Linked DNA regions of Schizosaccharomyces pombe. The protein of the gene in region 2 purifies or fractionates together with the protein of the main gene of each other region. This does not show direct contact. Each region holds a gene or a part of one and is shown on either strand. Other genes may lie near its edges.

Region 1 (3,933 bases), on a different chromosome or scaffold from region 2:
ATCTCGCATTGTGTTTTACCGGAACCTTGAGTATTAACGCAAAATAAACTTTTGGTAGAACTTTCCAGATGATCTGCAAAAGATTAATAAGGAGGATCACAGCTTCAACTGAAGCTACTGAGCACTTGCCCAAAACGAACAAGTTTTGACGGAAATATATTGGCATTAACCACAGTTTTTGTATTTGTTAGGCTTTTTTTTAAAATCATTTTGCATTCTTTCACATGGCTACCAAACTGAAATCCGCCAAGTCAATCGTGCCTCTTTTGGATCGTATTCTGGTTCAACGTATCAAGGCCGACACCAAAACCGCTTCTGGTATCTTTCTACCTGAGAAGAGCGTTGAAAAGTTATCCGAAGGTCGTGTTATTTCCGTCGGAAAGGGCGGTTATAACAAGGAAGGTAAACTGGCTCAACCCAGCGTAGCCGTTGGTGATCGTGTCTTGCTGCCTGCTTATGGTGGAAGCAACATCAAGGTGGGCGAAGAGGAGTATTCGTTGTACCGTGATCACGAGTTGTTGGCTATCATCAAGGAATAAATTAATTAATGGGTAATTTTTTCTTCGTCAGCCACTGCCTATTAAGCATACTAAAAAAAAAGCTGTTGGACGCAAAAACATCTTTTGTTATTGTTCTTGCAGCAAATTACGATAAACTGGTACAAGATGGCTTTTTTAACAGCTCTAATTTTAAGGACGATTGCACTCAGATTTAAATGTGATGTAAATGCGGACATTTTTAAAGAAAATGACAGTGATTATGCGTTTGATGATCGATGTCATTTCTCTTTTATTTTTTTGTAAAGAAGATTTTGAGTTCGTGTTTTATGAGTCTAACCCTTCACCTGAATTTTAACGATTTCAGTTTAAAATGCGAGTGTTCTCCACATAGTTTAATTACGAACCCTTTTTTCCAACATTAAAAACTGTTAATTTTATAAGTTTTCTATATCCTTTCCCAAGTAGCCCAAATGTATAAACAAGTAAAGCGAACACCAGTAGGTAGTGAAAAAATTACCAGCGTCCTATAACGGTCGCATTTGCCCATGGCGTGTTACAATTTATACAATTAACATGAGCTAAATGCTTGCAACAGTAAACATGCAAGCAGTAGCCACAATCACATACATATCCCTATAAGGTATTCAGTTAGTAAGTTTGCATTTGTGATATGTATCTTACAGCAATTACAATTTCGCGACAAGCGTTGCATTCGTATAAATTGCTCTCGTATTCGTTGTGTAAATAAGCATCCAATTCAGCTAACGCATGATTCGTAAATGTCCAAATACCCTCTCTCTGTCTTAGCCATCCATCACGTTCAAACGTATGTAAGTGAGACTCAATAACACTAGGTGCCAATCCCATTTCTTTTCTCGATAATTTTTGGATTTGCAGAGTCGTTAATGAATATTGGTAATCATCACACTTCATGATCCATTCGATTATCTTTCTCATAAGTTCTATCTGAACAGGAGGGTAAGGAGTAGCCATTTGGGATACTGGGTCTCCAGATAAATTCTGAAAGTGCAGCGTTAATCTTCCATCCAGTTGATCCTGTACTCGTTTTATCTTAAAATCGAAATTGTGCAAAGAATTGTTCAATTCATTTATTACATCTTCTACAGTTGCCGTTTCTCCATACTGCTCTTGAACAAGTTCACGAACTTGTTCATTATCAACACCAGCTGTGCGACACATTATATATTGAAGAATGAATTTATGCTTGTCAGATAATCCATCTTGTCTCTCTTTCTCCATACCGTTTATTCCTTTTTTTGTATTTCTACTATTTTGATTACTAATTGACGCGTTAATTGACCAATGCAAATTTAAACAAACACGCACAAAACGCCTAGCTTCCTTTCAATTTTTTATCAAATTTTTATGGTCGTTTCGATTTTTTGTCTTAAAATAGTCCGTTCATATATTGACAATCATGAAACATACAGTGTAATGGTATATGTTGGTAGTAGATGAAATCAGTATTCAGTGTGAAACAAAATTTGATTACCATTAAATACGCGCAGCTAGAACAATTTGTGAAAAGCAGCAGATATTCCTTTCTTTTTTTTAAAAAAAATTTATGCTATATATTTTTGTGAAATTTCTTTCTTTATCCTTTTCTTTCTATTGTTTACGCACATAAACATGGTTAGAAAACATACAGATGCAAGCAATGGAACAAGAACATTTATTATATTTATTTTAAAAAAAAAAAAACAGCATATTTTTCTACTGATCATCTTATTGTACCACGCACATTTAGCTTTCAAGTATTTTATAACACTACGAGTTAAACGTACATCAAGAATAGGAAACTAAGAGATAACCTTTTGCAGTTTTTGAATAAGGGAAAGTTAGAAAGAATACACATATTTTTCGTAAAATGTAAACCCTGTTCGTGAAAGTTTACTTTTCGTTGAATTTAGAATAATTGTTTATAATTAATGTTGACTTATTAGCTTACTAGAATGCTTGAATTCGGGTTTATAAGAGTTCAGTCGTAAATTTTATCACTTGAATTGTCAATTGATAGATTAAAGTCCAATTGCGAGTATGCGCGATTGCAGATTTCATGAACAACCCTATATTCAGAGTCATGCAGTTAAATCATTTTCTTGGGAATAAAAACTCTTAACGATGCTGAATGTACTTTTTAAAGTAGATATATATGAATTAAATTAGGAAAGTGTGGTTTATTTGTTTGCGGACCCAAACATACAGTACTAGTCAACTTATATTATAGTCAGTCGATGTTAACCAAATCCAACTACTCTAAGAACTGTTGAAAATACGGTATTGGAAGCAAATTCAGCTTAATTTGTATGAGAGTTTAGGACGAATGTAGTTATTTAGTTGATTTATAAATTACTTTAAAACTGAATGGATGAAGTATGTGCTGCTCCAGCGCCCAAAAAGATGGTCGCGAAATCACTCGTCTTGAACACGTTCAGGAAAGCCTCTGTAAAAGAAGTTGTTGAACTAAAGAAACCTTGGAAAAAGGTTTTATGGAGGAAACAAGATTACCCAGATAACTTCATTGATGAATCTTTTTTGAATGGCTTACAACGAAATGTTAACATTCAAGTCACTGACTTTTGGTCTTTAGTGGCCGATAGTTTACCTGTCTCCCAGCATCTATCAAGCGTAGTTATATTTGCCTCGGTTTTCGTTTCGATCTATAGGAACCAGTTATCTTGTGCGCTTGTTGGTTTCGTGTCAAATGTTTCTGCGGTCGCGGCATTCATTTTGTGGGATTTTGTGTTGAGAAAGCCTTGTAACAATAGAACTTTTCCTAATTACATGGGGATCGTTAAATCTTGTATATTAATTGTTCTTACGCTTGCTGGTCTATCGCCAATTCTAATGTCATTAACAAAATCTACCTCTCCTGACTCAGTTTGGGCTATTGCTGTTTGGCTTTTCCTTGCGAACGTATTTTTTCATGAATATACGACGGAAACTATCAGACCTCATGTCAGGTACGTCTTTGGAAACTTCATCGTAATTAATTCCATTTCTAATTATTTTTCTTTTTAGGCTACACAATTCTTTATCAACAAATGCGGCGCTGAGTGCATCTGTTGTTCTAGCTTCACGACTGGAAAAGTCAATTAATGTATTTTTTTTTATTCTTTTTGCCGTTCATTGGTTTGCACTATTCCCCATTTTTCGCAAATACATTCATGTAAGAAGCAATTTATTGGCCTTTTCTTTTATTTAACCAATTACAGGTTTTCTCTTTTTACGCTGACATGCTTATGACCCTCGTATTGATCATAAGTGCATATATTGCTTTGAATGCTGTTGCATCTGTTGTTATTGCGTTTGTCTTTCTTTCATTAATATTTTTCATTTCGTTTATATGTCCCATTTGGTTTATTAAGCTTCAAAGATTTAAAAAGTATGTAATTATTTTATTTTATTATTT
Region 2 (3,921 bases):
ACATTAGCTTCTTTTCAAACAGACTTTGCTACCCAGAAATCTTTGCCTGTTGTTGTTGAAGCAAAAAATAAGTTGGATGGAAGGTTCGAAGTACGTATTCGAAACACCGGGAAAAAATCCGTTGAAAATTTAAAAATCCTAATAACTATTCCTCAAGCTCTAAAGAGCGTTACGGTTACCGAGGGAAATTATATTTTTCGTGCTTCCAAGTATACTCATATGGAAGAAGGTATTCTGGAGTGGTCGGTAAAAAAATTAGCTTGGACATCCCCGGCCTTAGTGTTGACAGGATTCCTGGCCCCCTTAAAGAAAGATGCCAATTCAACCGAAGAGTCAAGTAGCTACTCTAAGCTTGAGCACCTTGATTTACAATATAAACTTCAAGGATCAACCCTTCATAATTTTAAAGTAGAGTCATTGAAGATGCTTAATCATCCAGATAAAAAATCTTATAAAGGGGTCAAGCATACAATTATTGCACAAAATGTTTCATTTCGTTTTCGGTAATAATTAATTTACTTTCTATCTACCCGTTTGTTTATTATATATTATTCATATAAATTTCATTTTCTTAGTTATCACTAATGATTATAATAATTATTTTCCACACAAAGCCTCATTCATTGAAACGATACATATAGTCTATATATATTAGGATACACAATTAATGCCAAATGACTTCTGTTAATTTGTAGTTAAATTATTAAGTTAAACGATTTTATCCAAGGACAATTTTTTTGAAATATCTAATAATACAAGCATGTCTTTGAGTATTGCCATTGGTCTATCAATACCAACTAATTCTGTTTGTTGATACATTGTGTATAACTGCTTCAACGTTGTGTAAAATAGCTCTTTATCAAAGTTGCGATCACTTTCACGAAGGGCCGAACCCAAAAATGAGACCCATGCTCGTAGATGTAGCTTCTGTCTGATTTTGTTTTTCGGAAGGGAAGTGGGTAAAAGTTGAGTTAGCTGTTTAGTAAACTCACAACGTGTATGGCGTATGTTAATTCCAATACCTATTCCTTTCATAAGTATATATTGGCTCAGGCAATACCGGAGATTGGAGGCGCCTAAGTTTCCAAAGAAAAGATCTTGTTGTTTCGCATTCAGTTTTGAAAAACGTTCGTCGAGTTTGCTAAGAAAATGAAAAGCGTCTGTCAGATGTACAACAAAAAATCTTCCCTTCGGAAGCATAGCCCATATAAGGCATAAGAGTTTGGCACCTAGGTTTGCTAGTCTTGATGTTCCTTCAAAACTATTTGAACCTCGACTTTCTGTTTTAGCAGGTGCTTTGGACATACTTGTTGCAAAAGGTGATTCCATTGTTTGCTGGGGAAGAGTGAAACAGGAGAAGCAAATTCTGATGGCATCTTGAAGTTCACACAAATCTTCTCCCATGTATTTTTTCATCAACGCAGATCCGTTTTCCTCAGCATCGATCTCTAATATCCTTAACCATATGTCCATCAAGGACATCCAACGTTCAAGGTCAGGAGGACGAGAAGACATGTATGCAATTAGATCCCAATAATCAACATCTTGGGTAAATAAGCATTGGTTGGAGAAAATCTTCAGATAATTTTCTTTAGGCATATCGTTGTCCGATAGATCATTTTCAAATGACCATGCGTCAAAGTTGATTTTGCTTCTGTTCTCAACCACCTGCTGTAATATCCAATTACAGCTTTCTTGAATATTAGAAGAGGTAGGATATTCTGGGTGGACTAGAAGAGTTATGCACATTCGTATATAACAAGCTGGAATTGGTATAGAGGTCGTCGATAGAAGATATTCTAAAACATCTAATGATTTTGGCAACAAGTCTTCTTCAATACAAAGCTCTATTATTGCCTTTAGAGCCGAGTTCATTTTGAAATGGCGTAAGCAATCTTTGCTACTTTATATGTAAAAGAAGCCAGATATGGAAGAGATATCTTATTTCTTAAAACGATTTTCTTTGTAAAAGAGCATTTAACATGTGCCCTATTTACAGTCTTGTGATTATTATTGAATGGTTTGATTCACGAATTTTATATTGTAACAAAATGCAGAATTCTCAGTTTGAAGTTTTTACGCGACAGAAGAAATATATTCAAAAAGAGGGAAAGAGGAGGACCCCAAATGAGCAGTATTTTAAAAGGAAGCTTTCAACGATAAGGTTTGTAACCAAGGAAGACAACATCTGCAAAAATTATTTCGTAAAAAAAAAATTAAAAAAAAAATCACTTTTCAAATTATAAAAACATTATTCTTTTAATGTACTAGCAGATAGTACCTTTGAAAGCTAGTAGATAAAAGTTTCGCTGCTGTTATGAAATTGGTGGAGAGTCCTTGGAACCGTTATTAGTCAGGTATCTAGCTAATCTGATCCTGTCCTCCACCAAGATGGCCGACTTTCAGGATGAATTGTTGGCATTAGCTGGTATTGATGACTCAGATGTTGCTTCAAACCGTAAAAGGGCTCATGATGATTTGTAAGAAAGCAAATTTATCGGATTGACCTTGCTAACAAAACATATTTTAGAGATGATGTGTTGAGCAGCAGTTCAGACGAAGACAATAATGAAAATGTTGGACAGGATTATGCGGAAGAGTCTGGAGGAGAAGGAAATGAGAAGTCGGAAGACGAATTTGAAGAAAAATTCAAAAACCCGTATCGTCTAGAGGGCAAGTTTAAAGATGAAGCAGACAGAGCAAAGTACGTTGATTTTTACATTTTTCATAAAGTTGTCTAACCAAATAAAGGATAATGGCAATGACGGAAATTGAGAGAGAGAGTATTCTCTTCGAACGTGAAGAAGAAATTTCAAAGTTGATGGAAAGGCGTGAATTGGCAATTCGCCTCCATCAGCAAAATGCTCAGTATATGGCGCAATCTACTAGAAGGTCTACTCGTGACAAGCCTTTAACTTCAGCAGCCGCTGGCAAACGTGATAAGCTTACTGAGCTGAAAAAGCGCCGCCAGGAACGTTCAGCTAGAAGCGTCTCTGAAAGAACTAGAAAAAGGAGCCCTGTTTCCGATTATGAAGAACAGAATGAGTCGGAGAAGAGCGAAGAAGAGGAAGGTTACTCTCCCAGCTATGCTGAGGAAAAAGTTGAACAAGTTTCAAAAGATAATGCATCCGCCAATTTGTACGATTTAAATGCAATTCGTCTTGGGCGTAAACATGTCGCGGAGTACATGTATCATCCTATCTTTGAGTCCACCGTCACTGGATGCTTTGTTCGGGTTAAAATTGGTGAGCGTGATGGACAAGGTGTATATCGCTTATGTCAAGTCAAGGGTATTTTAGAAAGCAGAAAGCCGTATCGTGTTGATGGTGTTTTAACTAAAGTTTCACTGGAATGTTTTCATGGTCGCTCGAAAAGAGTGTTCGATGTCAACGTCTTATCAAATGAGCCTTTTTCCGACCATGATTTCCAACGATGGCATCACCAAATGATGGAAGATAAGCTTTCCATGCCCTCTAAAAATTTTGTACAACGAAAGCTGAATGACCTCAGGGATATGAGTAAATACGTTTTAAGCGAAAAGGAGGTTTCTGATATTATTAACAGGAAGAAAGAGTTATCGCGTGTTCCTTCGAACATCGCTGCTGAAAAGACCCGTCTTCGTCAAAGGAGACAAGCTGCTTATGTTGCTGGTAATGCAGAATTGGTCAAGGAGATTGACGATCAATTAAACACTTTGGAAGAACTTTCCATGGGATCTAACCAAAATAGTAATTCTGCCATGGATCAACTTGCCAAAGTGAATGAACGTAATCGACGCCGCAACCATACCGAAATTCGCCTGGCAGAGCAGCGTATGAATGAAGAACGAAGACGCCTCTCAGCAGCGGCTACTGCCACACCAATGTCTGCACCTACTTCCGTACTGACGGGAACAAGTCCTCAACCTTCACCTTCCCTTTC

What was found.
Region 1: the proteins of nse5 (region 2) and nse1 purify together in Schizosaccharomyces pombe (affinity purification with western blotting; one study listed by BioGRID). This does not show direct contact.

What each region holds. Positions count from the first base shown.
Region 1 is NC_003421.2:1,192,024-1,195,956, reverse strand, and holds the start of nse1 (Smc5-6 complex ubiquitin-protein ligase E3 subunit Nse1), read right to left. Parts: upstream 1,971-3,933; 5' UTR 1,761-1,970; coding exon 1,182-1,760; intron 1,134-1,181; coding exon 1,014-1,133; 3' UTR 540-1,013; coding exon of another isoform or gene 225-539; 3' UTR 1-224. Other genes in the region: protein Hsp10, read left to right, coding at 225-539; gpi2 (pig-C family GPI synthesis protein), read left to right, coding at 2,886-3,484, 3,543-3,690, 3,737-3,906.
Region 2 is NC_003423.3:1,255,857-1,259,777, reverse strand, and holds nse5 (Smc5-6 complex non-SMC subunit Nse5), read right to left. Parts: upstream 1,876-3,921; coding exon 709-1,875; 3' UTR 586-708; downstream 1-585. Other genes in the region: AP-3 adaptor complex subunit Apm3, read left to right, coding at 1-507; prf1 (RNA polymerase II-associated Paf1 complex protein), read left to right, coding at 2,392-2,480, 2,531-2,704, 2,752-3,921. UniProt on the Schizosaccharomyces pombe protein: Acts in a DNA repair pathway for removal of UV-induced DNA damage that is distinct from classical nucleotide excision repair and in repair of ionizing radiation damage.